Drosophila melanogaster: one gene and its partners. The protein of the gene in region 3 interacts with the protein of the main gene of each other region in a pairwise test. Each region holds a gene or a part of one and is shown on either strand. Other genes may lie near its edges. The genes, in order: lig, CG6733, CG12521 and spaw.

Region 1 (10,700 bases), on a different chromosome or scaffold from region 3:
AAATCTTGCAATTCCTTTACGATGATTGCGAAACCTTGAAGAATGTTGAGGATGGTATATCGATGGATGGTATATGGTCTCTTTCCATATGCAAATATAAAATATATAAACCCATATATATATATATAAACATTTTATAATACCTTTAGAAACGAGAAAGAAGCGTCTCTTCAAATGCACATTTTTTGAATTAAATACATTTTTTTCTTTATTGCGTCAGTTAATTTACAATAAGGTTTAAAAAATGACTAATTAGGTGAAATCAGAACTTAAAAATCGAATAAATAAATAAATCAGTGATTGCTTTGCAATGGAAAACAAAAGTATGGTAAATAATAACAATTATTAGAACCACTTAAAAGCCACATGTGGTGAAATCTTTGATCCATATTTTTCCAAGGGGATGTCGACCAGAACGTTACGGTTTAAAAGACTGGCGTTTCGAGGCGCTATGCAAGCCGAAAATAACCTCATTAAAGCGGAAAGAACACAACTTACTGCAGAGAGCCAAAACCGGTTTGGCTTAATATTCCTTTCGTTGAGATAAACGTTGCAAATAAACGAAATGCAGCATTGATACCAGCTTATCGGCTAATCCCAATCAGAATCTGGCTCACACTTTTGGTTCTGTCTAATCCTCCTCCGTAAGTCGTGGTTTCTTTTATGATATCGTCGCCTTAATGTCTGTTTTCAGGACCCCTAAAGATGAGAGATTACCAGAAAATGTTTTCTTAAATTTTAGCGCAACTAACTAAAAGTACTGATTCTAAAAATATTCCTGCTTACTAATTTAATTTCACAAATACGAACAACTTAAGATATAATAATATAATAGATATGGAAAGTTTGATGCACTATAAAAAAGGAACCATCGCGGTCTTCAAGCATAAAAATATCCCATGCAAATATAATTTAGTTATTTAGAATGACTAGTAATTATAAACTAAATTGACCCATTAGCTTATAAGCCAGGATAGTTTTTTTTACGCCAAATTATAAATAGCAACACCTAATTTAGTAAACGAAATGAATGCTTTAAATCTGCACAAAGCTATACTTAACTCACCAAAAATAGTTTCGTTAATATATTTGTATGAGATGACTGACTGCTGACTGAGAGCTCACCGTCGCAGTTGTAAGCCATGAGAATATCGTAGTTGAACATCTTTGACAAATTGTTTTTCAGCGGTTCTATTCGACCTTCTGGCCTCAGGATGCGGTGAATAATATGAGCCTGGAAAACAAAAAGATCAAGTTTGTAATACCCCAATAATCAGGCTTACGTTTTGTGCTATTGCCCGGCTTTGAAAGATTCGCATCCAGATTGGAAAGCTCGTCGGGATCATACACGGGAAAATAGTCCAGTTCCACCTTGCAAAAGTCATTTTGGTTTTTTAGGATCTTTTCAAGCTTATTTTTGCAGCTCCTCCATTGCATCTTTCAATATCTCGACGTCGTCGTCACTCGAATATTTGGGGCATTGGTGTGTGCTCATTGCTCGCCTGGGTAAATATACTTAATGTTTTGTCATCAAATGCAATATTTTGTCCATAGTTTGGTAAATGAACTGATTTTGTTTGTTTTTTTTTTCAAAAGTAGTATGTTTTGTTGATGATAGAGGTGTGCAAATGCCAACAACTTTTCATTTGGTATCGATATACCACTTGATTTAATACGAGTTCAAAACCTTTTAACAAGGAGCATACAACATATTTAAGATCGAAATCAGCTTCTAATAGGTAAGCTGCTTATATTAGCTAATGGAAAATTGGATAAATTAGCTTTTTGAAGCCTTTTAATAATGGTATAGAAATGTTATCAATTTAAAAATTAGTAAAACTGATTCGTGGCACCGCTAGATTTCTGAGTCCAGGGCTGCATGCCCAGATAAAGCCATATCGATCGACTAACGAGCGGTCACATTAAAAGTGCGTTTCTCGGCGCATTTGCAGGTATTGAGTGTGACTCCGTTTTGAAAATTTGTTTATCCAATTTAAAGCCGTGACCGGAACCCTGCTGAGGTGTTAAAGTTTAGTTTAAGTGTCCCCCCACCTGTGCAACGTGTTTTCGACATGTCTCCCGGGGGCTTGTCAGCGAAAAACTCGGTTGAAAATTCAATAGTGGCCGCTGTCTGGAGCGGCGGTCGTCGTCAATTACTGGGTCCCTTGGTTTACATAAGAGCGAAAGAGTCGGCTAGTGTGGCGTTGCAGAAATGGCGTCGAAGTATGTGCACATGGCTGGGTCTATTAAGGCTATATATCCCGTTTGCCCCGCAATGTGCAACTGGGAGTGCGTTATCCTTGCCGGGTATGTCACATATTGGACAAATTTCGCCAACAACGAATCGTACATTTCGCTTATTTCGGCGCAGTGTACGCCACTTTGTCCGGTTTTGCATTCCACTTTGTGCGCTTCATTCGGTTTCAATGCCCTCGCATTCAGTGTTGCCAAGTGCCGGAGCGTACCTAGTGATGTGTGCCATCCGAGTCCTGCCGTGAATTTGTGCGTTTGTGCAGATATTGTAGCTAACGCTGTTTGCCCTCTCTAGGACCTGCTACCTCGTTAACGAATCCAATCATTGTGCTCCGATTGTTGGTTAATTTAACGGCCTTGCCAAGTGCCGCTGCGCTTTGTTCGCACCTGGCAACACTGGTCAGCCCGCGCTGGTGCGGGTGCGAGGGAGATGCCGCTAGGACAGATGCAGAAAAGCGAGCACAAAAGCGAAAGCGAAAAACCGAAGCGAAGAGGCCAAGGAGTTTATAAATCAATTTTTGTGTATGTCAGTCACCGCGATTCCCATTGCAATTGGTATTGAGTAGTTTCCGGGTCTCGGATCGCAGTTCCCCAGTTCCCGTGGTCAAATTTCCATATCATGGTGTACGTGCGAAATGCGAAACCTGATGGAAAAGTGATGGCGACAGCGGTCTTTTGTTTGTGTGCGGCAGTACGCGCGTGTGTCTGTGTATGAATAATGCATGGAAAGGCGTTATTCACGGCAAACGTTGATAAAACTGTTTTGACAACAAAAATTGAGTGATTCAGATATGCACTTGGTATCGGGGTCGCCTCTCCCGCTCTCTTTCCCATGAACCACCCCCCCTGGAAATGCCAACTGACGTTTCGGCTTGGATGCGTCGTGGTCACGTACCCCGCCACCCCCTCGGCAATCATTCTGTTACCTGTTTTGCCAATACACTTTTCACCCCCCTCATTATTTTTGTTATTTCTGAATGCTCGCTTTGTTTGTGCGTACGATCTTCCCTTCCTCTCGCACTTCTTTGCTTCGGCGTGTGTCTGTTTGTTCACGTTCTTTCATTCTCTTTTATTAAATGTACATTGAACTCTCATCTTGCCAACTTTTCCTTTGCTGCTCTCTTTCGGCCACTTGTTTAGCCATTTTAACACATTCCCAGATAAAAGCTGTCTGGATTGTGGGAGTTTACCATTAATATTTCCACGCCGACGAATCAAGATTTAGATCTTAACCATTCATTATTCTCTATCCAACAAAAAATTTATGTAAATGCGCTGTAAATTCCAATTGAATTTCTGCTATATTATAGTTGAATATCAACTAACAGAAGCGAACCAGGCGGCTAACTTTCTAAATCAGCAACACCAAAAATCATTACTTATTACTCTCTACTTATTTGCATTGATCTTTAGATATTACTATTTTACTTATAGAACATTAAGTAAACCCAGAGAGTCCCATACTCAGAATCCAGTCAGCACAGACTTAAATTTTTATCAGTCAGTTTGTAGATTCCCTGGTTTTAAGATCGAATCCTTCATCTTTTTCGTATTGCAGCTAATTTGTATATACAGTGTACATAGAGATGAGCACACAAACTCGTTCAGGCGGCGGGGGAGGCGGCGGCCATGCCCGCAACCAGAAAAAGTCAAATGCCAGCAACTCCGGCGGAGGAGGAACCGGCCATCACGATGGAGTCTCACATGCTGCGGCCGCTGGCAAGAAGGGAGGCCAGGATGCCAGCAAGACAGACAAGCCAGAGAAGGCCCAGCCCAAGGCTACCACCGAACAGTTGCGCATTGCCCAGATCACCAATAGCACCACAGAGGATCCGCAGATCAACGAGAAGGTTCTCCTTCTTTTGACCATGACCCAACGTTCCGAGGAGGAGGTCTGCTGTGCCCTCAACGAGTGCGATTACGACCTGGAGGCCGCGGCCAACTTCTTGATCGAGGAGCTACCGCAGGTTAGTTTCGATTCTAATCTCCCGCGCTCCAGTTATTCAATTGAATCTGTTTTAGGGCGCCTTTGCCAAGTACGAGAAAAAGCGCAAGAACAAGGCTGCAAATAACACGGCTGATGGTGCTGCTGGCGATGGCGATTGGGCCGATGGCAATGGCAATGCGGACAGGCGGGAAAAGTCGCGAAACCGCAGCTCAAATCGCGGAGGCACCCGTGGCTCCAGTGACAGTCGTGGATGTAAGTATCATAAGCCACGCTCATTTACTAAAACGTTTCTTAGGGCATTACTAAACGTTTTGGATCTTTAAGCTCTGCATTACAGTTATTGTAAAACTGCTAAAAATAACGTTTCTTTTTATGTAGAACATATATAAAAATTAAGATCGTTAAATATTCCAATGCTGATTGACATTTAAGGTTCAGCATTTGTTGGTCATGCGCGAGCTGTAATTAGAGAAAATATTAAATTGATGAAATAATTTTAGTAAATGATATTTATCCTAATCCTCTGAACATAAATTAATATTTGATTTCTAATATTGTAGGGCGCGGAAGAGAGACTCGTGAGAATGAGCGCAACCAGCGCGAATCTCGCGAACCTTGGTCCGGGCAAAACGCTGGTCAGGACCGCGGTGACGATCGGGCAAATGACAACTACCGCGGGCAGCGCAACGGCGGCGGACGCAGTGGTCCCGGTGGCGGTGGACGCGGTGGTGGCTTTGTCTCTCGCTCTGGCCGTGGCGGCGGCCGCATGGGGGGACGCACCGGTGGACCGCGTGGCGATCGCGGCAGCGGAGGCCCTGGTGGTGCTTATGGATCAGGTCGCGGTGGCAATGCAAACGAGGATCACCACGAGGTTGAGCTGTGGGACAACACCATTGCCCAAAATGCCGAGAAGCAGCAACAGGCTCATGACGATGCCTGGGGCGACTGGAACAACGAGGAGTACGAGGGCTCGCTCAAGGACAGCAAGGTGTTCACCACTAGCAACCTGGCAACGCAATCCGCTGCCAACGTGGTTAGCGGAACTGGCGCGAGTGTTACAGCTGTTCCTGCGGCGGCTGGAACCGAGATATCGGCGCCACCGGGCCTTGAACATCAGTTGGTGCAGCAGGGATCTCATCTGGAGGAGAGCTCCAGCAGCGGCCCAGCGGCGGTCACACCGCCAGCAACGCTGAGCGGCTCGGCGACCACGCCGCTGCTGCAATACAGCGCAGCGGTCAGTAATCCACCGCCCCAGCTGCAGTCCCAGGGCACACAGTCAGGAGCGGGTACAGGAGCGAGCGCAGCTGCCGGCGGAGGAGCAGGCAGCACACCGTCATCCTTTGTATCCGCCTCTCCCGACACATTCTCAAGCGCCGCCTCGGCAGCTGCCACGCTGGTGCATCAAGCACAAAAGCAGCAGCAACTTCAGCAGCAGACGACGCCTATCAAGCCGTCGGCTACTTTGTCGGTCGAGCAATCTCAGTATTTCAACTCGTTGGCCAGCCAGGGCGTCAGCCCAGGTTCTGTTCCAGTGCAATCGGCGCCAGCGGGTTACGCGCAAAACCCCGTGGCCGCCTACTCCCAAACTAGCACTAGCGTGGGTGTGAGCCAGTACCCCAATACCTATGCCAACGTATTCGCTTCTGGAACGGCAGCTGGAGCTGGCACTGCCGAGCAATCGCAGCAGCAACCGCAGATACGGAGGGCACGTGTTAAGCTGCCACCACCCTCGAAGATTCCTGCGAGTGCCGTCGAAATGCCCGGAGACAATGCACTGAACAACATTGGCTACCTGGACGTGCAGTTCGGCGCTCTGGACTTCGGCACGGACGATGGCTTCGAGCCATTGCCGGAGAAGGTTGGTTCGGGCTTTAGCATTGATGGTCAGCAGCAGCAACAGCAGCCAGATGACTACCAGAGCAAGTCCCAGCAACAGCAGCAGGTGACGCTAGCGGCAGGTCTACAGAGTTCGCAGATTGTAAGTACCGTACTGTATCCTTTGAATCACCCAAGTAATCATCGTCACCATGATTTAGTTAATACGATAGTTTTTAGCATAGTGCATATATTACTGAGAATCTAATAGCATTCCTCATTTATAGAGCGATGCCTTAAATGCAGCGGGCTATACAAGCCGTTCGACGTCACAGCAGCAGCAGGGCGTTAGCTCAGCGGTGAATGCCACAATCGATCAGCTGACCAAGAGCGATCCCTACGGACAGACGGGCGGCAGTGGTAACGCCTACCAAAACGCGTACCAGAGCAGTGGAGCGAGTAAGACAGCCAGTGGCTTTCCGACGACCGCGCCCGGTGGCTACAGCAGCTCCACATACGCGAATGTGCAAAGCTCAGTAGCCAACAGTTACCAGCAGCAGGGATACGGCTCATACCAGCCCAGTTCCTACCAGCAGCAGGCTGGCAGCGGGGCTCAAAGCGGTACAGGTGCGGTAAGCGGAGGCGGAGGAACGGCGACGCAAAACATTCCGGTTGGAGGCAGCAGCAGCCAAAATAGCACGAGGTATGACATGATCCAGTATTGATTGTTTAATATTTAATTCCAAAGGGTACGTACCCTTGCAGAGATTCGTAGTTACATATTTCTTAAATTTAAAAATTATTTCTAAGCAACAAGTCGATTTGGCAAGGAACAACTAACTATACTCAGCAAGGGTACAAACCTTATCGAATATATCTTTTACTTCAAAGTTTAAATATTTGTGTGTATGCAAGTTTTGCTTAACAATTAGCCCCACCCGAAAGAGAGCTAATCTTCATTTTGTTTACTGTTTTTCTTCTCTCCTAACACATTTAATGCTCGCTTATGTCCCAAAAATCCCAAACCGCAATCGCGCTCCGCACCTAACAGCGGCAATGCGAGCTCTGCCTACCTCACATCCGGATATTCGACACCACAAAGTGCTTACCAGTCAAGCCAGAGTGTTTATGGCAACACTGGACTGTCCAACAGCAGCGGGTAAGTACCAAATGTGACGATCCCAATCCCAATACGATCAGTTCCCTGGGGATGACACGTACCTTATTTTGCTTGTTTGGACTGGTTCTGGTTCCATTATGCTTAATTGCGGCTTCTCGCCCGTTCGTTCAGGTTCTCTGGCAGTGCGAGCAACGCGTCCTCGCAGTACGCCAATTTCAGTGCCAGCGCCAAGCTAAAGGATGCGACCACGGCCAGTAGCGCCGCTCATTACGACAGGTAAGAGCGAAACCCCCGCTCTGCATGCCCCGCTTTTTCAAATATTCCGACTAACCCAACCCCCTGGTCATATCCCACTTAGAGGCGGATGCCTGTAGCACTTAATGTTGATCTTATTGACCTTTCAGTGTCTCAACCAGCAGCGGAGTGAGCAGCAACAGCGGAAGCACAGGCAATGGCGGTGTGGTGAGCGGTCAAACAGGTGCTAACCAGGCGGCTGTATCGAACAGTAAGTAATCGATGATTTAATATCAAACAGTTGAGGCCCTAAAGAGTATGCATTGCAGTCATTAAGCTTTCTGGTATAGAAATCCCATATCAAAAATATTTAAAAACAAACTCACAATGTCAAATCTACTTCAATCTAGCCACGGCTTTGACAATACAACTCTCCAAAATAAATATAATTTTTGATTCAAACTTTTTGTTTAGCTGAAATGCTCTATTTTTGGCCGAATTCTTAGTATTCGCATTTAAACTAAAACCTTTCCGTCCTCTCCAGATAACAGCGTGAGCGGCAGCAGCTCGGTCAGCAATGTGACGGCAGGCGTTGCGAGTGGCAACGTAGCTGGCGTGGGCGGAGGCGTAAGCCAGAGCGGCGTAAGTAGTGGAGTCGGCGTGCCCGGTGGCAGCGCGTCCAGCGTCGGTGTGAATGTGAACAACAACAGCAGCAGCGCCAGCTCGGTGGGAGCAGCGACCGTTGCCCAGACAGCCACGGGAACCACCGCTGCAGTGCTGGCCTCGCTGACCAACAAGAACACCAGCAGCAGCAATAGCAGCGGCAGCGGTGGCAGTGCTGCCACGACGACGGGCAACGCCAGCGGACAAGGTGCGGGAGCAAGCACCGGCGGCGTGGGCAGCTCGTCGGGTGCTGGTGGTGCTGGTAGTGGTGGTGGCAGCGGTAGCGGCTTGGTGCCCACCAACATCCAAATGGTTAGTCAATATATTCAGACTGGATTGCCATACTATCAGCAACCAGTGTATTCCTACGAGGAATTGCAAATGATGCAACAGAGAGTGCCACATGTGGTGAGTTCATGGAGAAAAGCAAAAGCAAATATCAAACCAACAACTACATAATGCAACCGACCAATCAACCGAACCGTTTCTAATCAAACAGTAATCGTATCAATATGCTCCCATTATACAACGTTTTCGCATTAGTCAAGACCTAGTTCCATTTAAAATTTAAACGCATACGACAACTGCTCAGCGCATCCCAGCTCGCCTCCCGCTGCTGATCGAAATCGTTAATCCGGATCCTGGCTCGTTGACGTTGCGGCCTCCCACTCCTAACCGTTTCTCAGCGTGCATTGTACATAATAACATACATATACCGCGATGTCTGTGATCAAGTCCTTATTATACCACCTCCTAAAAGTCTGTGTCTGTTTGAATATGTATGTGTGTGTGTGATTGTGTAAAAAGCTGACACTTTCCTTCGCCACCCTGCACCATCCGCTTCCGTTTTCATCCAGTTCCACATTCCTGGCATTATCACAAAAAAAAAAAGATAAACAATCCACATGTATTGCTTACCTCCCAGGCTCTGCTTTACACTCAAAATTAACCAAAAACTAATCCGAACGTTCTTCCTCGTTTCCATCTACAATGTAGTTGTGGAATTAGGGATGCAAAGCCAATTCAAATCGAAGAAATATAACCTTAAAATATAAATATATATATACTTGAATTACTTTGCATCCCTAACTACAACGAAATCTGTGCTCCTTACTGACCCATTTCATTCGATCACTAACATTTTACCCTTTTTTTTTTCTTCAACCTAACATCTGACTAATGTATAAATTTCTTACATTGAACATAACGTATTTCATTTTGTTGAAACTGGTACACGTGGTTTTGTCAGACCTTTATCACATATTTATTTTGTTTCGGTAAGAAGTTCTGACAAAGTGATCCGTTCATCATCTTCACAGCCATAACACGCCCAGAATGCTCGCGTGAAGACGAACCTAATGCTATAATTCTCAATTGCAGCAGGGATATTACGATCTGAACTATCCGCCGGCCAGTTTAGGAGCTGGACGTGACAACCTCGGCTCTGTGACGTATTCTGCTATGAATGATGGACGCTTTGCCCGCACTGACAATAACTCCAGTCCGGTCGGCAATGTATGTGCTCAGCTTAGATAGATAGATCGATAGATGGTAAAAATGTTTATTTTGCAGGTCTCCAGCACAATGTCGCAACAGGCTGGCTCAAGTGCGCCCATGCTAAATGTTCCTTACGCCTACTTCTATGGTGGCAATGTAATGCCCGGTAGTTTTCAATATGGCACGCCCGCCATATATCCAGTAAGCCTATTACATTCAAATCACTTTGTATGCAGTATCTAATCAACGTCTAAACTTATTCAATTTCAGCAAATACCGGCAGCAAACACTGCCTCCGGTCAACAGTTCCCGAAGCCTTCGTATAGCGCGGGCTACGGCTCGACCAGCTATGACACTCTGTCGCAGACCACGCAGGACTACAGCAAGGGCGGCTACTCGTCGAGCGTGAATCAGCAGAGCAAAACTCAGACTGTGTCCAACCAGTCGCAGGCAGGCACTGGATCCGATCTGACCTCTTCTATGTACGGAAAAGGACACGTGGCGCTGAACAAGGTTAATGTACGTATGGTTATAAGCAGGGCTGTGGATTTGGATGCAGGTCATCATAGCCTGAATTCGATGTTAAAAGACTTCAATTATCTTTGAGCAAAAAACAATACAACAATAAGATTTCACAGCCCTGGTTAAAACACCTTATCTCCCGACGTGTCTACATTGTACCATTGTATTTTTCGTTATTCAGTCGTACGAGAAGCAGAGTTTCCATTCGGGCACTCCGCCCCCGTTTAACATGCCCAACACTCAGACGGCTGGAGGCACCTCTGCCCAACCGTACGGCATGTACTTGCCGATGCCAGCGGCCGGACACCACAATATGATCCATCAGCCCATCCACCAGGTACATTCAGAATTACCACTTCAGGTTGTTGTAGGCGGAGGGACGGAAAGTCATGTTCTCATTCATGGGAATGTGAACGGTCCTCAAGTTACATACCACCGGATCTGGCAAACCGAACCTGTCCAGTGTCAGAATCAGCTCGTTGCCGCTCATTGCAATAACTTTGAACCTAATATCGACTGCTGTGTTCATGACAATAACAACGACTTGTCCTTCTTCGCCGACTGATGAAATGCTTAGGGAACTCATCTTGTTATTGTTAACACATCAATTTTATTTTCACCAATTGTGTAGCTGCACACCCGCCAATA
Region 2 (6,419 bases), on a different chromosome or scaffold from region 3:
CGACCCCTCGCTGTGCTTCCAGGTGATGGTGGCCTTAAAATTTATTTTGTTTGACTAACTGACAAAACTCACTACCACCTGTCTCGTCCGCTTGCCAGTTGTGTCTCGCAAACTCGCTATACGTTGCTGTCACATCGATGACAGCCCTTAGTTCGGCGGGCAATGGGGCGTATGCGCGATGCGCCGCCACTGGATAAAGCCGAAATGAGTTCGTTTTAGGAGACCGCCTGGACACACTCGTTATGGTCGAGCACCAGTATCATTGTATAGTTGAGTTGATGGAGACGAACCCGAGGGCAGGGATCCAAAGTTGTCACATGACAGGACAAACACAGGCTTAAACTTTTAGTCCTTTGTGAAGTAGAGAAACCAGTTTGGTTGGCCATTTATGAGGAAATTCCAATCTATGCACTAAGTAGATATTACCTAGCCCGAAGGGTCCGTTTAGCTGGGTCTTATTGGAAGCAACCACACCTTCGTCTAGACAAAGCTCCACGTTCATTCCTCTGATGAAATTTCCCCTAAGGTGAAGTGAAAATTTGATGGGAACTCGGTTGGTTTCGTACTTGGTTCTAAATTTTTATCTGATAGCTCGTAATTCTTATCAAAGCCAAGGCGGTGTTAATATCGTTAAAGTGTTTGGTTAAACAAGGTGTATTGTTACGACAGATTTATCTTTATGTAAACTCAACATTACCCGATGTTGATGTTGCTTGACTAATAAATGTTAAATTAAGAACATTAAAATTCCAGTATTTCAACAAAGTTTTATTGGACAGAGAGAAGACATTGGCTAGACTTCAGTGAGATTAGGAATAATCTTCTTGTAAACTTGTATGCCATTCAAATAATCATCAGCCCTTAAAAATTCATCATGGTCATGGATTAGTACTGTAGTGTTTATGATGGGTGAGAAACCAATTGCTGGGGTTCCCTGCTGGCGAATAAAACGACAATCGGTGACTGCAAAACACACTATCGGCTTAACTTTAAGACCCCTGAAAAAGGATACATTATTAAAGATTCTCTATTGTATCTGACGTATACTCACAGTTCATCCAGAGCGACTTTCAAAGCTAACCAATAGGGGTTTGAATCATCCAGCCTGGTGGCCGCCACATAGGCCTCTTTCAGTGGGAACTCGATGTCAATGCCTCCACCTGCCTCCTCGCACCAATTTCGAATTTCCCGCTCAAATGCAACCAAATCCAGGGTTATGGCTAGACGTATGTCGAAAATGGCCTCAAAAAGCGGTGGAACCACATTGCTCTGCACTCCGCCACTCAACTGGGTGAGATTCACCGTGGTCACATCCCCGATGCTCAGGCTTTTGTCGTTTTTCAGTCGCTGGATTTGCGATTCACGGAACTCCGTCAGCTTGTTCAACACATAGTTCAACTTAACTCCGGCTGTATCGGGCAACAATAGAGAACCATGACCGGCGGTTCCAGCAACTTTCAATTTGAGAACTGAATAATGGGAAGTTCAATCAACTGATGTGAAAGCTGAACGGGCTACTCACTCCATCGTATACGCTCGGCGTAGAACAAGTGATGAACATCAGAAGCACTAGTTCCACCCTCGTCCAAGCTGAATCCCACATTCATTTGTTTGTAAAAGTCAGTTTCAACGAACGCTGCCATGCCATGGATGCCTCCAATCTCCTCGTCAGGAACAAAGGTTACATAGAGCGTCCTTTTCGGCTGAAAGCCATCAGCCCTCAGCAGGCGTATAGCTCCTAGATACTGAGTGCCCACCGATTTCATGTCCTGAGCACCTCGTGCAAAGATCCTACCCTCCTCGTCGATGTCGGCGGAGAAGGGTTCATGGGTCCACATTTCCGGGAATACAGGAACCACGTCCATGTGCGAGCTTAAAATGATTGAGGGCAACTTTGGCTGGCTTCCTTCCCATTTAATGATCACCACAGGTTTTGATTTAACAGCTGGAAAAACTACTTCCACGGGCAGATTGAGGGAATCTGCCTGCCGCTTAATAAACTCCACACAAGCAGCTAAAAATGAATAGTGCTAATGCATTTAAGGAAATATTAAAATAAGGACCTTACTATAATCAATATTAGGGTGTACAGATGGAATTCGCAAATACTCCCGGAATATTCGAATTTCCTCGTTCTTTTCCCATTTTTCGGCACTCATTTTTAATATGAATCGTTAGGATGGTAAAGTAGAAATAAGCAGCTAAAGGCATCCGCTGTCTTTATATGCATTTGGATCGTGCCACAAAAGTGATTATGCGTATATGATAAGAAAATCGTTATCAATGGGCGGCAGATCTCTTCCAATTCTGACTATATTGCAAGTCACTTTGGATGGCAGTCGAGGTAGTGACAAGAAGCAGTATAGTTGACAATCTGCTACAGAATTCCCATCAGAATCATTTATATCTTGATCAAGGAGGCGAAAGTCAAAGAATCAACAAACAATATTGAGATAAACACGGAATTTCAAATTAAACTCTTGAATCTTTTTTTTTTTTTGATAAGATTACTCTCTAAAATGAAGATACGAGGCACACTTTAGTAATTAGCCCATCTTTATTATAGCCACGATCCATGTAGTTCAAACATTTTGTTTAGACTTCAGCCAGATTGCGAATAATCTTCTTGTACACATCAATGCCATTAAGATACACATCAGCCTGCAGAAACTCGTCGTGGTCATGGATCCGCATGGTGGTGTTTATAATGGGTGAGAATCCAATGGCTGGGGTACCCTTCTCCCGAATGAAACGACTGTCAGTGGCGCCAGGACAAACGATGGGATGAACCTTCAATCCACTAAAACACAGGAGGATTTCGATTAGCCATTATAGTTAATTTTTAGTCGGTACTTACAGCTCATCGATTGCGGCTTTGACAGCTAGCCAGTAGGGATTGGAATTGTCCAGCTTGGTGGGTCCTATATAAGGCTCCTTCTGGAAGAAATCAATTTCAATGCCACCACCCGCCTCCTCGCACCAATCGCGAATCTGTTTCTCAAAGGCAACCACATTCACAGTAATGGCAATCCGTATGTCGAAGACCGCCTCGAAAAGTGGCGGAACCACATTGCTCTGGACTCCGCCACTTAACTGGGTGAGATTCACGGTGGTCACATCGCCCTTGCTGAGGCTGGAATCTCTCGCAAGGTTCTCCACTTGCGAGGTGCGGAATTCAGTCAGTTTGTTGACCAGATAGTTCAGTTTTACTCCTGCCGTATTGGGTAGCAAAAGGGAACCATGACCAGAAGTTCCACTGACTTTCAGCTTGAGTCCTGCATAAAGCGAAACGGTAATGTCCCCAATCCATCATCATCATCCTTATGGAACTTACCCCATCGCAAACGTTCGGCGTAGAACAAATGATGAACGTCACTTTCACTAGTGGCGCCTTCGTCCAGGCTGAATCCCGCGTTCATTTTCTTGTAGTAATCCGTCTTAACAAACTCCGCCATGCCCAGATGACCACCAGTCTCTTCGTCGGGAACAAAGGTCACATACAAATTCCTTTTTGGTTTGAAGCCACTAGCTTTCAGCAGGCGAATCGCTCCTAGATACTGAGTGCCCACCGATTTCATGTCCTGAGTACCCCGTGCAAAGATCCTACCCTCTTCATCAATATCGGCGGAGAAGGGTTCATGGGTCCACTTCTCTCGAAAAACTGGCACCACATCCGTGTGAGAGTTGAGAACAATGGACGATAGTTCGGGTTGACTTCCTTCCCACTTGATGATCACAACGGGCTTCGTTTGAACAGCAGGATAAACCACTTCAACAGGAAGATTTAGGGAGCTAGCCTGACGTTTCAGGAACTCCACACAGGCAGCTAGACATTGAAAGACATTATAACGCAAACTTTAAAGAATTAAAATTAAGTCCTCACTATAGTCAACATCTGGATGCACCGTTGGTATACGCAAGTATTCCCGGAAAATCTTAATTTCCTCATTGTTTTCCCACTTTTCCGAGCTCATTTCGACACTCTTCTGTCATCAGCAACTGAGCTGCAACAAAGATTGTCTGTGCTTTTATAATCACACTGATTGCTTTCATGTTTATGGTCAAGGAATTTAAATGCTTATCAAAAGTGTATGTGGTTGCGATAGTAACGCCCTTATCTGCAAAACCCACACGTCTATTATCCGAATAAGTAACTTTTCTAAGCGGCAAATAGTTCATTATGTATTATCTATGCAACTTACACAGAAATGAGTTCATTGCGTATTATCTATGCAACCTCAACCTTTGAAACCTCAAGTTCTTGGTAAGTTGTCATGTATTTTTCAATATTTTCCATCATATCGTAAAATTATGACAAATTCAATTAAAATGACGAAGCTTTGATTGATGACCTTCGATTTGAAAAAATCAAGTGATTATTTTGGATTTAATGGGCTTCCCAGTCTTCCAACTTGCTATCTATGATGATACAGCAAAATGTAGATACATCCATTATCTACTTGCTGTCGCAAGGATAGCAAGTTGTATTCTTCAGATCTTAAGTTGATTAAGGTATTCGTTGAGATAAGATAAAAGGCCAGGAAGTTTTGTACTAACTTATAACAAAATCATCAATCTTTATTTTGATAAGGTTTTCATGTATTATTTCGATTTAGTTTTTAGACATTCGCTAGGTTGCCCAAAATTTTCTTGTATATTTGAATGCCCTTCAAATAAGTTTCGGCGCCCAAGAACTCATCGTGATCATGGATGCGCATGGTGGTATTTTTGATGGGTGAGAATCCCAAGGCTGGAATGCCCTGAGCTCGAATGTTCCTGCTGTCGGTGGCACCGGGGCAGACAATGGGGTAGATCTTAAGGCCACTATAAACATACAAATCGTATTAGGAACACGCATTGTTGAGCATTCGATTCAGACTTACAGTTCATCGGTGGCAGCCTTGAAAGCCAGCCAGAATGGATTGGAGTCGTCGATCTTTGTGGGTGCCACGTAGGGTTCCTTCTCGTCGAAGGAGATCTCGATGCCGCCACCTGCCTCCTCGCACCAATCGTGGATCTGTTTCTCAAAGGCAACCACATCCAGGGTGATGGACAGACGCATGTCGAAGACAGCCTCGAAATGAGGAGGCACCACATTGCTCTGGACTCCACCGCTCAGCTGGGTGAGATTGATAGTTGTCACATCACCGATGTTGATTGTCTGATCATTGGCCAGCCTCTGAACCTGCGATTCGCGGAACTCCGTCAGCTTGTTGAGCACATAGTTCAGTTTCACGCCGGCAGTGCTGGGCAGCAACATGGAGCCGTGTCCAGAGGTTCCACTGAAATTCAGCTTGAGACCTGCCAAAGAGGGGATATAGTTTAGATTCTAGTCCTAGATGTGTCTCAAGGATTACTCACCCCATCGCATACGTTCGGCATAAAAGACATAGAACAGATCTATTTCACTGGTGCCGCCCTCGTCCAGACTGAAACCAACATTCATGTTGCTGTAGTATTCCGTTTTGACGAACTCCTGCATGCCCAGCTCGCCGCCGATCTCCTCATCGGGCACAAAGGTCACGAAGAAATTGCGCTTGGGCTGGACACCACTTGCCTTAAGCAGGCGGATGGCACCCAGATATCCTGTGCCCACCGACTTCATGTCCTGAGTACCGCGCGCAAAGATCCTGCCCTCCTCATCGATATCGGCAGCGAAGGGATCGTGGGTCCACTTGTCACGGAACACCGGCACCACATCCATGTGCGAGTTGAGAATGACGGAGGGCAGCTCCGGTTCGGTGCCCAACCACTTGATGATCACCACAGGCTTCTTCTCCACTGGATATATAACATCCACGGGAAGATCCAGGCTGTGAGCCTGCCTTTTCAGGAACTCCACACATTCGGCTAGAAGTTAAGATGTACATGAGTAGTGCTCTTCTGTGAATTCCTTGGGGAATCCTTACTGTAATCCACATTTGGCTGCACCGTAGCTATGCGCAAATATTCGCGGAATATTTTGATTTCCTCGTTGTCCTCCCACTTTTCGGTGCTCATTTTGTGGATATGTTTTCGCTGCCAGTCACCAAACTCGAATGTGCCGCAGTTGGCAAAAAATGAACTTATACAGAAATTTTTGTGTGTTGGGTGATTTTGGTTTTATGGCCTTGGCTTCGTATTATTATCAAATAATGAGTTCGTTATCAAACTCGGTTGTTATAGAAATGATAACAGCACATATTCTTGTACAAAATTCTACCAAAACAAATGTCTAATAGCAAACGGTAGCCAATTCGATAAAGTTCACATAACACCAATAAAACTCAACCACCGTCGTTTATGGTCTGCGAAAAAATGGGTTATTATAATTTGTATTTGGTTTGATAAGAAAATAGAATACATATTAATGTAATTATTGATAATTATGATGTATATATAAAATACAACCCCTTTACGTGAAGGTTACGTTAGTTTTT
Region 3 (5,437 bases):
ACAAAATGCCTTTCCTTTCACATGAATTTATGTATTTTAATCAATTTCCCTCGCTGTGGCAGTTAAATATCCTAAATTTGTCCAACGAAATTGATGCTTCAATTATTCGAATGACGACGTTTAATGGGCTTTCGAGGAATAAAAGCAAAAATTCACAAGAAAAACGCCTCTGCATCCATGCTCATTATCGGAATCAATTAAAATTTCACATGTATCGTTAGCATGGCCATGTCAGCAAATCCACGGGATTCGGCTAGAGTCCTCCAAAATACGCCCACGGGACCCATACACCTTCGAAATGATCCAACATCAATCCCTATCCAAATGTATACTTAGATATGTACATACCTTGTCTTTTCTTGGTCGGCGAATGGGGGTTCCAGCATCCCATCATCCTTGAATCCGTGAAACATTTGACGAGCATGTGGGTGCAGGTGGTTTGCATCCAGCACATATACATATACATAGATACCAAGTGTACGTATATTCGATGTATCTTTTAATTCCAAGTTATATTTTTATTCAGTACAATATCATGATATAACGCGTATGATAGAAATTTTAACTTGGGTTTATTAGGTTTGCATTCGTATATTTCCTTGCCATATTTAAATGCATAAATACGTGCTTACTATTCAATAATATGGAAGAATCATAAAGTTTTTTCAACAGAAAAAAATCTGAAAGGAAGCTGCAGCTGACAGTCCAAAGCACTCGGAAGGACAGATGGGAGGTCATAAGATTATTTTTACTAGTGACCCGATGACCGTAAAAATGAACGCCCGCAGCAGAAGCGACGAATCTGCGGTCGAGCGTACTCGCTCATGCGAAGAAGAGGACATCCTGCAAGCGAACTGGAGTCCCATGTCCTGGTTGTCCACCAATTTGCTTTGTTGTCGCAGCCCGTCTGCCGTTTTATGAACTGCGAACTTGTCATCCGCCTTCGCCCTTTTATTTCATAACCTACCCTCATTTTGGCATCGGAGTGGGCTTAACTTCCCGGCGATGATATAAACGAGGCTGGGATCATAAAAGTTTACGGGCTGCTTTGGATTGCACGGCGGTATCGCCTCGAGTGTCATATATTGTTGAACACTTGAAATTAATGCGCCATTGACACCTTCAAAAATACACCGGAAATTACAAAATTTAACACTTTATGTGGTTGACTGGGGCACATATATACGTGCACCCATGTTTGATATACATAAAACAAGCACATTCAATTTTATAGGGTTTATATCTTAACTAGGCTTTGGTTCGACAATGAAATCTATTTAGGAATAGCATATTTTAAGCCAATTTCTATTTTTATTATATTCAAGTTTAGAAGAGATACTCTATCTTGTATAGTAAATTGCTATTGGTATTACAATTTACACCGCCATGGAAAACCAGACGTCACATCTGATCCCTGCCACTTTGCTTCAGCGGTGGTCGCATCTTGGGACACACATCAAATAACACTCGGTTCGCAAAGTCCAGGCTATCGATCTTATCCGTTCCGTGGACATCTTGAAAGTCTGGACTAGTCTCGGCAAAGGTTTCGGGATACGCTGGCCAAGATTTCCTATAAGTAAATCAAATCGATATAAACAAATGTACTGTTTATAAGCTCGCCGAAATTCTAAATACGAATCTACACACTCAGATTAAAAATTAAATGTATCTCAGTGAAATTCACTGGCGATGAGAATAAAATGTAATCGAGCCTCGCAGATTTCATCTACCTGCCAGAGGATATATGCATGTATGTACATCTTGATGTATGTACATATGCACATTTATGTGGTTATAAAATGGCAACAGAAGAGGGGACGAGGCTGCTTTTCACCTCTGAATTTAATGAGCTTTCACGGCACGTGATTATTAGGCGAACGGTCGTACGTGTGGGATTCTTTACCCAAAGTTAACATCCCATCCCGGTTACAGGTGCTGACAATTTCCCCAACTTCACGGATCCGCGGCAGGAAAAGTGTTTTTCCTTCGCCGCACTCACATCCTCGTGGGCGCTATGCCGGTGGTAGTCGTAGTTTCTCCAGCAATCCACACACATCTTTACATATTCGAAATTTTTCCCTGCTCCTTTTAAGGCGAAACATAAACAATTTTTCGCGACGCTGAAAAACTTTTAACTCGCTCTGTCCGTAGATTTTGCACACGTGCTGCTGCTTCGCGCACCACCACCTACGAAAATATATGTACGTACATACATACATATGTACATCCCATCAAGGCAGAAAAATGTATGCAGAGTTGCTTTGCTACAGCCAGTAATTTGAGATGCTTGAGGGCAATGAACAGGATGAAAAAATACTCGTAGCTTTAAAATAAATGATAAATTGTCAATCTGTAGCAAGTATTTTCTTTTCAGTTATGAATATTTACTTTTCCCCTAATGATATTTGAGCTTAAAACAACATACATGTGCATAGTTTTCATATGTCCGTCTTGAAATAATGTACAATGTGTATTTAATCACTTTTAAGCACATTTGTTTCGAAATTTATTAAATAACTATTTCACTCACGGACGGAAATAAGTGTCGCCGCCGACACGATCAGTTTATTATAAATTATAGTTCAAGAGATTAAATTCACTCAAATCTCGAATAAGTTATTGCATTTTAAATTTGGCACATAACGCATGTTAAGATCCTTAGTGCCTTCGTCTCGGCTTATACGACTTGTGGCTATGTTTTCCGTCTCCAATATTTTCATGCGCAATGGCGAGCTCGGTTTGCGAATTGATCACCGCCGTCAGTTCATCGACGATCTCGTCCAGGGTGAGCGGGTGTCCATTGGCCACCATAATGGCCAGGATGAGGGGCGCCAAGATGTCGTTGTGGCAGCCATCCATTGTGCTTCCTTAGCCGGCAGTATTTGAAAATTTCAAAAAAACAAAATACAAAACGCCAGAGCTCAATTTGGAATATTCGATCTTTGTGCCCGTGCAAATTTATGACATCTCGGCTGACATGACCATCGTGGACTACTTTGAATGTACATATGTATGTATTGTATGTACGTATATGTATGCACACTGCTTGTCGGGTTTTTCCAGTGGAGTTGTGCAGTTGCTGGGTGAGGGGGAATTTCAATTGGAAAAGTGTCACTTGTCAGTTGGTCACCGTCCATTCTGTTTCACCCTTTGTTGCTGCCTTCGACACCCATGCTGTGCTGCATTTTTGGTTGCGATACATCAATACGCCGGAATAGGATGGTTCATGGCGTTGTGGGTGGGGACTGCAGATATGTAAATTTCGTATGCAAATTACTCGCAAGTCGGAGACTTGCTCAGTTGATAATAAGAAAACGAGACTATTAGATAACCGTTACTCAGCTGGGACTGTGAACGAAAAATTGTAATATGTTTTGTGATATCGGTAAAAAAAATAATAATATGAGGGAAAAATTTGACAAAAGTTTGGGCGTGGCTATATGGGTCAAAAAAATAGCGCTGCGTCTATGTCTCTAGAATCTGTATATATCTGTATATATATATATATATATAATATATATAATTTAAACCATAATGGGTACACAGACAATAAGGCGGTAAGAACGACATCTTCTTATGAATACGGCAGATAAGAAGAGAAGAAAGATGACTGGGACTCATCATTTGTGCCCATCACAGATTCAAATGGTGTAAGGATCAAACATCAAAAATACATAAAAAAATCTATTGAGCCATATAAATTTCGTTAAAATTAGTGAACTCGATTTTTAACGTGTTGAGCTACCGTGAAAAAACGAATATATCTAATTAATCATATCTATCTAGGGAGAACTCTTCATGTACAAAAAGCAGATTCAGTATTATCATTTCATTTTAAATAAACCTTCACCTTTGACCTTGTAAAGGAAGCGTTCCATTCGGATCAGATACTTTATCTACGATTTAAGCTTCTACTAATGCTAATATTAATACTTAATAAAACGACTGAGAATGTTGGGTGTTGGGGTATATTTAGAGCACACATTTTATGCTGCTATGTAGCGCAAATTTCGGTCACATGAAGCGAGTTTCCACTTATCAACTGCAACACTAACAACAGGGGCGAAAATCAACAAAAAATTCCGCTCATTATAAATGTCATCAGGCATTATTTTGTCCATCAACTTGTCGCAGTTGTCGTGGCACATTCTTTATGGCTTTTTGCTTCTGCGGTCCGGAGTTGGCGGCTCAACTGACTGGCCGGCCATGTTGAGAGCCATTTATAATGAACAGAAAAATGAAACAGGAAATTGAAACCGGACTGGCGTGTTAATGAGAATGCGATGCCAGGCCGTGCTCGTCTCCTTAACGGTCAGTTCTTAATTTTCGCCTGGGGGACGTCCATTCTCTTTTAACAGCCTCCCAACTGCCAGTGGATGGATTGTCGTGGCTGTTTACGCCGTGAAATTGGGCAATTACTTTTAATGGCCAATGTAACCGTTAACGCAGTTATGATGATGTCCAAAAGTTACGAGCCCTTGACTTTACTTCTTAGAGCTGCTGCAAATATTTCATCTAAATATTAGAGTTAAAATAAATCAACTAGCATTGCAGACCGAAAAACCACAACCATTTTCGATTATAGCGAATTAAATAAACAAATTAAATTTTATTTTGCAGTCTAATTTAACCGGTAAATGAGGTGGCTTCCTTATTAATGCCACATTCTAACCCATAACTTCCATTCTAAGCATTTTTCGCAGACAATACTCGTGCATTCTCGTGGGACTTCTGAAAGAGCCAAGCTTCATCCACCAACCACCATGTCTGTGCAGAACAATTAGTGACTCTATTAAGACTTCGAAAACTGTACAAATTGAACAAAAGCCCAGCGGATTGGGGTCCACAGCCAAGCAGAAGCAATCAAAACAGAACCTTTTAAACAAAAAGCAAAAAAATAAAAAAATTTAAAAAAAAAACCAAGAATATTAAAACTTGGTGGTGTCGCTTCCTATTTGTATGGTGGGCGCTTAGTTTCATTAAAATTTAAGCGAAACTCAATGGACTGCAAATGCACGAAATTGGATTGGCAGTTGCCCACAGCAAGGACGCTGCTTCTCGTCGCCAATTTCCGGATCCTTTGGGAGTTCCTTTTTTTTGGCCTAAGAGTATCTGAAAATAAATACCAGGGAAGAGAACAATAAGACCGAATTGGCAAAAGGACTCCGTGTTGTCGCAAAGTAGTAAAGGCAAGAGGAACTTTGCGAACTTTCCCATTCTTGAACAATTTTGATTTACGACCACTTAACGTTTTTTATGTTCCCCAGACTCTGCGATTGTATAAGGACTCGCGTGTGTTTGTACTACTGGTATAGCTAAGCTGAGGTCGACATTCCGGAACTTAGTCTTCATTCCATTTACATGCAAGTACTTATAAAAACTAAAGTATCCAAAGGTTTTGATCGCTTGAGCATAAAAGATAGTATATGGTTAGAAT
Region 4 (7,835 bases), on a different chromosome or scaffold from region 3:
TGCTCATCTCTGCCTCCTGATCCTGCTCCGGACCTAACTCGATTGCCGGGGGAGGAGCTGCAGCCGGAGAGCTACCATAAATATGCATAATGCAATTAACAGCCAAATGTAATTGCAAGCCAGAACAAGGAGTAAAAAATAGAAAGAGGAAAATAAAGACAGACTGGCATTAGCAGCTGACAAACCACCCGCATGGCAGTCACTGTCCCGTCACATCACTTCACATCACATCTCTCTTGGTGAAGCATGACAGTCGCTCTGCTCCTTTGGCTTTGCATATGCCCGACTTTTCCGATTCTCTGATTTTCCGACTTTCCCGGCCTGGCCAACCTGTTCGCTCGCACACTTAATTAGGCTATTAAACAATTGCAGAACGCATGCTTGCTAGGCCTGTCTCCAACCAGTTTGCAACTCGCAGTTCCGCCTCGGTCCAATCCAAAATCCGATCCGATCCCAGCCGAATAGCATCGAATCTGCCGCGAATCTGTGCCAAATTTCGCATAGGCACTGCCTAGCCAACTTAAGGCCAAATCGAAAAACCGACAAAACTGAATAACCGTTGCGTGCCTAGGCCCAGTCAGCGTCTTTCGATTTGGCCGTGCCTGTGTCTTTACACTGGAAAAAATTGCAACCAATACGGACGAATAGTATACATTCAATACTCTTGTTACTGTTTGTTTATCATCGTGGATGGATTTATCTCGAGTTGATTATCTGAACTGAGTAGATATGCGAATTCTGGATATGTTTATTGTATTTCTTCCAGTGTGGCCTGCCTTTTCCTCCGTCTATCTGCGCGTATGGCCAACTCCGCTGGATTTACTTGACTTGGCCTGGCTGATTGGGCGCGCGTTGTTTTGCATTTCCAGGCCAGAAACAGCGGCTGCGTAATAAAATGCATTTTAATTTGGCTAAATGTTCAATTAAATTTAAACATGCGCAGTCCGCTGTTTGCAATTTTGTGTTGCCTGTCGCCGTTGCATTGAAGTTGAGTTGCAGGAGAAGTGAATGTGTGCGACAGGACCCTCTTCCGATTTTCTCCAATTTTCAACCAGCTCTTTTTCGTCCAGTAGGCCTCGATCGAAATTTCGGATACCAAGCAAAAAATTTTAATTTAGCGATTCATGTAACGGCGTTACGGTATACAAAAATTTTCAAAATTCCACTTTCATTAAAAGTTTCGGCTAATGTTTTGGTCCTCCCTACTAAGGGGCTTCAGCTCACGTCAGAGCGGCTCCTCGAATAAACCCCCAAAACCTCCAAGTCCACCGAAGCCACCATCGTCACCATCTCCACCAAAGTCTCCTTCTGCCAAACGAGAATGCAAGATCCGGACGCACTGCATTCCGGCCGCCTTCTGCGCCGAAGGGGATAAGTTCAAGTCGATGTGGGATCCGCCGAAGAACCTGCCTCCGCCGTACCCCTTCGTGGTCAGCCGATCAAATGACTTGTGCTGCGAACCCAACTGCACCAAACCACTGCCCTCATTCGACGAGCTGTATTACCGTCCCTCCTGCAAGAACGGTCCTTACCAGCGCCACTGGGTGGAGTGCCCCAAGTTCATGATCCGCAAGAAGATAATCTGCGCCTACGACAAGCTGGAGGCTCTGAGCCCCGCCCGTCGGGTGGCCGAGCGGCGCGAGCGGACAACGCTCAGTGCCACAGCCACAGGACCATGTCCCCATTTCGCTCCGTTGGCACGATGCGTGCCAGGACGTCGTCCGCCCAGATGCCACGCGGCCAAGACGCCCTCCTGCTGCCGCAGGTTGTGTGCACCGATGCCCTGCTGGTCGGATTGTAAGCAGCCTAAGCTGGCCAAGCGACCATATCGACCTCGCGAGTGCGAGTGCCGATTCCCCCTGAGCCTCTGCGAAGCGGAGCGGGGTCGTCAGTGGGTCAAAATTCATGGTGAGAACCACGTCTGTCCCAGTGCCATAAAAAAGGCCAAGAAGGCGAGAAAAGACATGCTCAAGAAGATGAAAAAGGATAAGAAGGATAAGGGCACGGATAAGAAGAAAGATAAGAACAAGGATAAAAATAAAAAATAAGTTTTAAAGGTTATGTTTATTTCTTTGGTCATTGGTGCTCTTGTATTACTCGGTTTCAGCCTCCAGAATTGTTGCTTTGTACTTGCTTTGGCCAGACTCCAGATCGATTAAAGCCTGCTTCAGAGCCATGCGCATAAGTAAGCGGGACTCGGACTCGGTCAGCTGAGCAGAAACTTTGTACCGTTCTCTATCTAAATGGATACCTGTGCCGAATTGGGGTTCCTGGTTCAACGGCTGCTCTTCAATTGACTCGGTGCTAAGGCTACTAGTAGGCTTCTTGGCAGGAACTTCGATAGTCCTAAAGGGCCTGTAGGTGTGTATGGTTTCCTTAGGCTGAGTGTCCTGCGTGTCATCAGTCTTGGGAGTATTCTCATTGGTTTTTGAAGGACTGGACTCTTGAGTATCGCCAGCAGACGCAATTTGCTCGATTTTGTGAGATTGTTTTATTAGCTCCTCCCCGAAGTCCTCATCGGAAATCGAAGACTCTGAAACTACCGAACTAGATTGATTAGTTATTTCACCGGTTAACTCAGAATCCAAAGACTGATTTGCTTCCATCTCGTGATCCAATTTAAGTTGATCGGTGATATCCCTCGTTAGTTCGGAATCAAAAGACTGGTTCGAAATCTCGCTATGATCTAGGCTCTCTACATCACCCAATCCAGATGGTTCTGAGAGCGCACTGGCTACCTCCGAATGCATAGAATCTGCAACACCTAGCTCAGATTGATGGGAACTAGCTCTATCCACTGACTGATTTGATTCCTCCTCATGATTCAAACTTTCACTGATTTTGGGTTGGTTGAGTGCAAAGGAAGCCACATCCGGTTCAGAGTTAACCATCCCCATTGTTTTTTCACCTCCTCCCATAGTATTCAAAATAAGTGAAATCTGACTAAGCTCTTGCATCATGAAGTCCACATTCCTTCGAACGGATGTGAGAGATGTTTTCTCAAAGCTGGTAAAAGGTTCTTGGGACGCCTGATTCTTGACAAGCTGTTCTCGCAGGGAGCGCGTTCTTGCGAATTGTAATTCTTCTTGAATTCCTGATTGGTCTCCTTCAGCGAATGGCAACTGATCATCCTGAGATTCATTGTTTGGCTGCCGGTATGGATCCTCCACCTCATTAGGACTTGGTAGTCCTGCCAATTGCTCCACGTCAAGCTCGTCATTTTTCCAGCCCCAGGATGCAGTTATATCGTCATTGCTATCCTCTTTGTTCTCTTTCACATGATGAACGTTTTCGTCCTTCGCCTCCGGCCATACAAATAGGTGACTTGTGTGATCCACCTGCGTTTCCTTTTTGAATTTCTTCACACTTTCCGTTTTGTCCGAAACGTGTGGGATAATGGTCGACTCCGAACTGTCGGACAACAGTCGCCAAAGGTTTCGGTGAGCAGTGCTGGAGCAGATGATTCTACGCGATAATCCGCAGAAAACCGAGAGGCGAGGCATGTTTTAATTTTGAACGAGGCCTAGAATTTTGAATTTTAAACAGGGTGCCGGATGCCAATTGAATGAGATATTAGATGTACCTCAACTGACAGATTTTCAGTTGGGTTGCTGGGATGGGGATTCCACAGGGATACCCAACACCACCAGAAATCATAAATATAAAAAGAGTTTATAAAGGTTTATGATTTCTGGTGAAGGGCTTGCCGTTCAGGACTTTGGTCTCTGTTGGAATTTTTGTTACATTTTGTGTTACAAAAATTCCAGCGAAGACCCCAGTTACTATAACCCTGGGATACGGTCTTCATCTTCCCCTGGAAGTACACGGCCAGATGCTTATGTCGTTGTTTTCCATGTGCCGTCCTCGTCGGATCTGCTCGCACTGAGACGCCTTTTTCAAGCACTCACACTCTGGTGGCCGGGTTGGGATAACAGCGGGATCCTCCTGAACGCATTCGGAGTAACTCGGGAACGGGCACTTGATCTTCTCGCAATCGGAAGGACCGGGGAATGCCCTGCAGTCGGGCGGTATTCGAGCGGTTCGACAACACGGCATACGGATACGCATGCAACCTTTGTACCTTTTGTTTAGGCACTTATAGCGCTTCCTCTCATGTTCTGCGAGACAAGCGGATCGCGGGCAGATGGGCAAATCTCGCCGCAGGACCTCCGGTGGAATGGCGTCGCACCAGCAGCAGACCCGCTTCGGTACCATTTTTGGACAGCATTCCCACCAGGTGCGCTGGAACTCCCGGCACTTGTCCGACGGTGTATAGTACAAAACGTCAAATCGCGTATCCTCACACTTTGGACAGCACTCCTCCGGGTAGTGCCACATAGCTTCTGGCCGATTACTACCATCATCCTTGTATCTCTTCCACATCGAAACGAACTTGGTCTTCTTGCTTGGATCAGCGCATGGATTCGCCGAAATGCCGGTACTCACGCAACATGAGTATCGCGGCTGGGTGCAGCCCTCCTCGCTGCAAGGACGAACAGGTGGATCCGTGGGACTGCACGGTCGCTTCTTCACCACTTTGCAGTCGGGAACCTCACTCACGGGACAGAAATCCTTTCCCATCCTCGCCATTAGGGCGGTAACGTGAATAGTTCGACAAGTATCCTCCAGTGCTATAAGGCTGGGCATAAGCACAATTCTCTTGGCCAAAGAGTTGAGCATGGCTGGTGAACTTAAATTTGAGTTCCTTCTCGTAGAGGAAGTGTTGCCGAAACGAATGAAAAAGTATGGGGTTAAGAGTTGAATATGGGGTTTCTCATATGGGGTTGTCACCTAACATTTTCAGTCAATTTCTATGTGTGCTTCTTATTCGGAAGACCGTAGTTTGGTCTACAAAATTAAGCTGCTAAATACATTCTACAGTATTCATTACCAGACTTCACTCCGTATATAGGCCAATGATTAAAAAGACTATTGCTTTACACATTACATCTTTAATACGGCTAATTGTGGAGAATCTTGGACCCCTGATGCCAATCGCAAGTGCAACCCAATCACTACGCTAAAATGAGCGTGGAGTAATTGGTCTGCGTATGAGTTTGGCATCAGGATCGAAAACTTTCATTTTTTTCTGGTTAATAGCAGTCTCGATACAGTTTTTGACGATCGAAGGCAAGCGGATGAGAAAACGACTTCTTAGGCAGACTAGGACAGTTCGGAGCCTGGAATAGGCTGACAAATGGAGCTGAGTACCGCCCACCCTCCGGTTTCTTCCAATCTTCAAGGCCTCTCGATTTGTTGGGGAAGAAAGCGTGATTTCTAGAGAAGTTCAAGCGTCGAGGTTCGGTCTTTGGCAGCAGGCGGTCCTTGGCCCTGGCACAAATCTCATCCATGGCCTCACGCTGGAATCTCTGTCCGATGCTCGTGATGGTACCCATCGGCTGCCACTTGTTGGCCGACTTCGATGGGGGATGGTCCTGGCCAGCATTGTTCATTGGCTTCAGGAAGGCGGTAGTTGCTTCGCTCCTTGGCAAAGGACTTAGCACATTATCGACGCAGTGGGACTGATTCCGCCCCACGGGAGGCTGAGCACGGGAGTAGCGGACGAGGAGCTTGGTCAGGCGCTCAGCACACATCGTGGCCAATACAGAGGTACCCATCTCAGATCCTCACCAGTTCTCGCTGGCTTCTTCTGCTGCTTAGTTTCCCTGAATGCTTCGGTCTGCGTGAGAGATGGGTTGGGTAGTATCTAAATGGAAACGTTCGATTTGGAAGCCTGTTGCTTGATTAAAAAATGGGTGACTCCGAAATAATCGATTCATTTTATAGATGACTGCAATGGCGTGGGTGACCTTGATGTAAAATACTAAAAATCCAAAAAAAAGCATAAAAATAAATTTAATGAATTTTTATTATATGTTTTATTACAACTCATAAATTCAATTATAAATTTTGTATGCCAAATTGTTATTATTAAGTAATTTCCATGGTTTTTTGTTAGGATCGGATACCTGACTGCTAAAGCAAATTAATAGAAACATCACTTTGTATCTATTACTTCGTTTTAAAAGCCAGACCCTCAACTTGCACTTTTACGTGTTTCGGTAGGATTATCACAGATTTAATCCATCGCGTCTCATTCTTTCCGCAAGAGCTATACATTTCGGGGTGGTCTCCAAGCAAAGGCACTCTCTTTTTCGGAGCGGTCTTGTTCCTCTTATTTTTTCTGAGTAACAAGGATATGGAGCTCGCAACTTGGTGCATAGGGTAGGCTTTCTGCCTCTGGAGCAACGAGGATTGCAGCGAGCCAGCTTGCAACAGGGGTGAAAGAATTTCGGACACTTCCTCGTTGGGTCCCGCTCCCATTCTCCATCCGCACAGAGTAGCCTTCGAGCCTTATAGTTGATTTGGCAAGTTCCTGGGCAGGGCGGCCTGATCCGGTACAGAATCTCAGGAGGTTCGATGGCGTCCAGGCAGCAAACCTTCTTCAGCCGTTTCTTAACGGGTGAACACTCCACCCAGGTGCGTTGGTAGCAGCGGCACTTGTTTGAGGGATGGTAGTACATCGCATCGAAGCGGGGCAGCATTTCCTTGCAGAACGGCTGCTCGTTCGCCTTGCAAGGTGGCTCCCACATCGAACGGAATGGCTTCTCCTCCAGCTTTGCGGCTTTGGGTCGTCTTATCTCTACGCAGGGATTTTTGGCCGCCGATCGCAGGACACAGCATTTCCTCTCCTTCTTCTGATCGCGTTCTTGCTTCAATAACCTCTCATGTGGCAGTTTGAGATTGATCGTTTCCCTGGCCTGCACGCATCTGCCGCTTGGAACATGATGGCACAAAGGGTCGACAGGTTGGCATGGCGGATCCGCGTGGTAGGTCACTTTGCTGGCGAAGCTTCTGAAACCTTGCGCTTTAGTGGCAAAGCTCCTGAAACCTTGTCTGCAAAAGATCCACAGTGCTGACTGCATGCTTAAAATTTTGAGAATTTTGATTTGGCCTAATGATTTTTCGAAAGCTGTCGAACTTGTGAGTTACTAGGCCGGGAAAACTAGGTCACTGGTTAGGTTACTTCCGCATACTCTTTGTTGAAGAACCTCTAAATAAATCAGACGACTGCACACTTAGGAATCTCTCAAAATGGAAATCGCATCCTGGATCGTAACGGAGAATACCCTATTAACGGCTTGGTGCAGTTCCTGCGCGACTTGTTGCACATATTATACGTGTTCCACATTTCACATAAGCTCCCTCCACGACAGGCACACTCGGAGCCACAGAATCGTGGTATCAGATGGCGGCAGGCCTCCGAAAAACTAGGCATCGGAGTGAACTTCTTGCAGCATTCGGATGGCCTCCGCGGCTTGGTGCATTTGGGCGGACGTCGACCTACTTTACAACAGGGAGCCCTGACGGACTTGCAAAAGATACTCATCTGGAAGAGGTGCTTTTCAATAGCCGAAAGTGGTGGTTCCTGCGGGGGGCGGATGCGGCGATTCATGGGCTGATATACCTCCTGATCGGGACAGCAATAGTCCTTTGGTCGTAGCCAGAGGAGCGGACACTCTGGCCAAGTCCGTTGGAATTTGCGCTGCTTATCTGACGGCTTGTAATGTTCAGCGTCGTGGCGGATCAGCTTCAGCAAGCAGTCGGGATTGGTCTTGCCTCGATTATAGATCTCCTGCAGATACTGGGAGTATTCTTCTACTGCAAAGGATGGTTTCTCGTAACACTTGTTGGGCTCGTACTTGACCGGACAGAACCATTTTCCATCCTTGCAGGCCGTGGTATCCTTGTCGCGCATCTTGCAGCACTCCCCAGAGCTGGCATCGTAGCTGCCCCAATTGTACCATCGACTCGTGATCGAAAACCTGGGAATC

The links.
Region 1: the proteins of CG12521 (region 3) and lig interact in a two-hybrid assay, tested with the Drosophila melanogaster proteins (one large-scale study listed by BioGRID).
Region 2: the proteins of CG12521 (region 3) and CG6733 interact in a two-hybrid assay, tested with the Drosophila melanogaster proteins (one large-scale study listed by BioGRID).
Region 4: the proteins of CG12521 (region 3) and spaw interact in a two-hybrid assay, tested with the Drosophila melanogaster proteins (one large-scale study listed by BioGRID).

The regions. Positions count from the first base shown.
Region 1 is NT_033778.4:8,066,060-8,076,759, forward strand, and holds the start of lig (lingerer), read left to right. Parts: upstream 1-3,769; 5' UTR 3,770-3,839; coding exon 3,840-4,220; intron 4,221-4,275; coding exon 4,276-4,453; intron 4,454-4,761; coding exon 4,762-6,179; intron 6,180-6,303; coding exon 6,304-6,719; intron 6,720-7,067; coding exon 7,068-7,175; intron 7,176-7,307; coding exon 7,308-7,412; intron 7,413-7,540; coding exon 7,541-7,641; intron 7,642-7,914; coding exon 7,915-8,441; intron 8,442-9,352; coding exon of another isoform or gene 9,353-9,358; exon of another isoform or gene 9,359-9,413; coding exon 9,414-9,548; intron 9,549-9,605; coding exon 9,606-9,731; intron 9,732-9,800; coding exon 9,801-10,049; intron 10,050-10,233; coding exon 10,234-10,617; 3' UTR 10,618-10,700. Other genes in the region: CG17977 (uncharacterized protein), read right to left, coding at 691-699, 1,067-1,234, 1,284-1,385. UniProt on the Drosophila melanogaster protein: Acts in the nervous system to mediate the control of copulatory organs during courtship.
Region 2 is NT_033777.3:23,095,314-23,101,732, reverse strand, and holds CG6733 (uncharacterized protein), read right to left. Parts: upstream 4,006-6,419; 5' UTR 3,975-4,005; coding exon 3,884-3,974; intron 3,827-3,883; coding exon 3,335-3,826; intron 3,276-3,334; coding exon 2,858-3,275; intron 2,801-2,857; coding exon 2,596-2,800; 3' UTR 2,542-2,595; downstream 1-2,541. Other genes in the region: CG6738 (uncharacterized protein), read right to left, coding at 794-998, 1,052-1,469, 1,523-2,014, 2,069-2,159; CG17109 (uncharacterized protein), read right to left, coding at 4,620-4,824, 4,884-5,301, 5,362-5,850, 5,910-6,000.
Region 3 is NT_037436.4:11,844,856-11,850,292, forward strand, and holds CG12521 (uncharacterized protein), read right to left. Parts: upstream 2,949-5,437; 5' UTR 2,860-2,948; coding exon 2,659-2,859; 3' UTR 2,528-2,658; downstream 1-2,527.
Region 4 is NT_033778.4:8,357,420-8,365,254, forward strand, and holds spaw (spacewatch), read right to left. Parts: upstream 4,738-7,835; 5' UTR 4,681-4,737; coding exon of another isoform or gene 3,805-4,680; 5' UTR 3,504-3,804; coding exon 2,094-3,503; 3' UTR 2,049-2,093; downstream 1-2,048. Other genes in the region: CG11635 (uncharacterized protein), read left to right, coding at 1,188-2,048; hubl (hug-bell), read right to left, coding at 3,805-4,680; whip (whipple), read right to left, coding at 5,094-5,594; swif (swift-tuttle), read right to left, coding at 6,072-6,926; cola (comas sola), read right to left, coding at 7,091-7,835.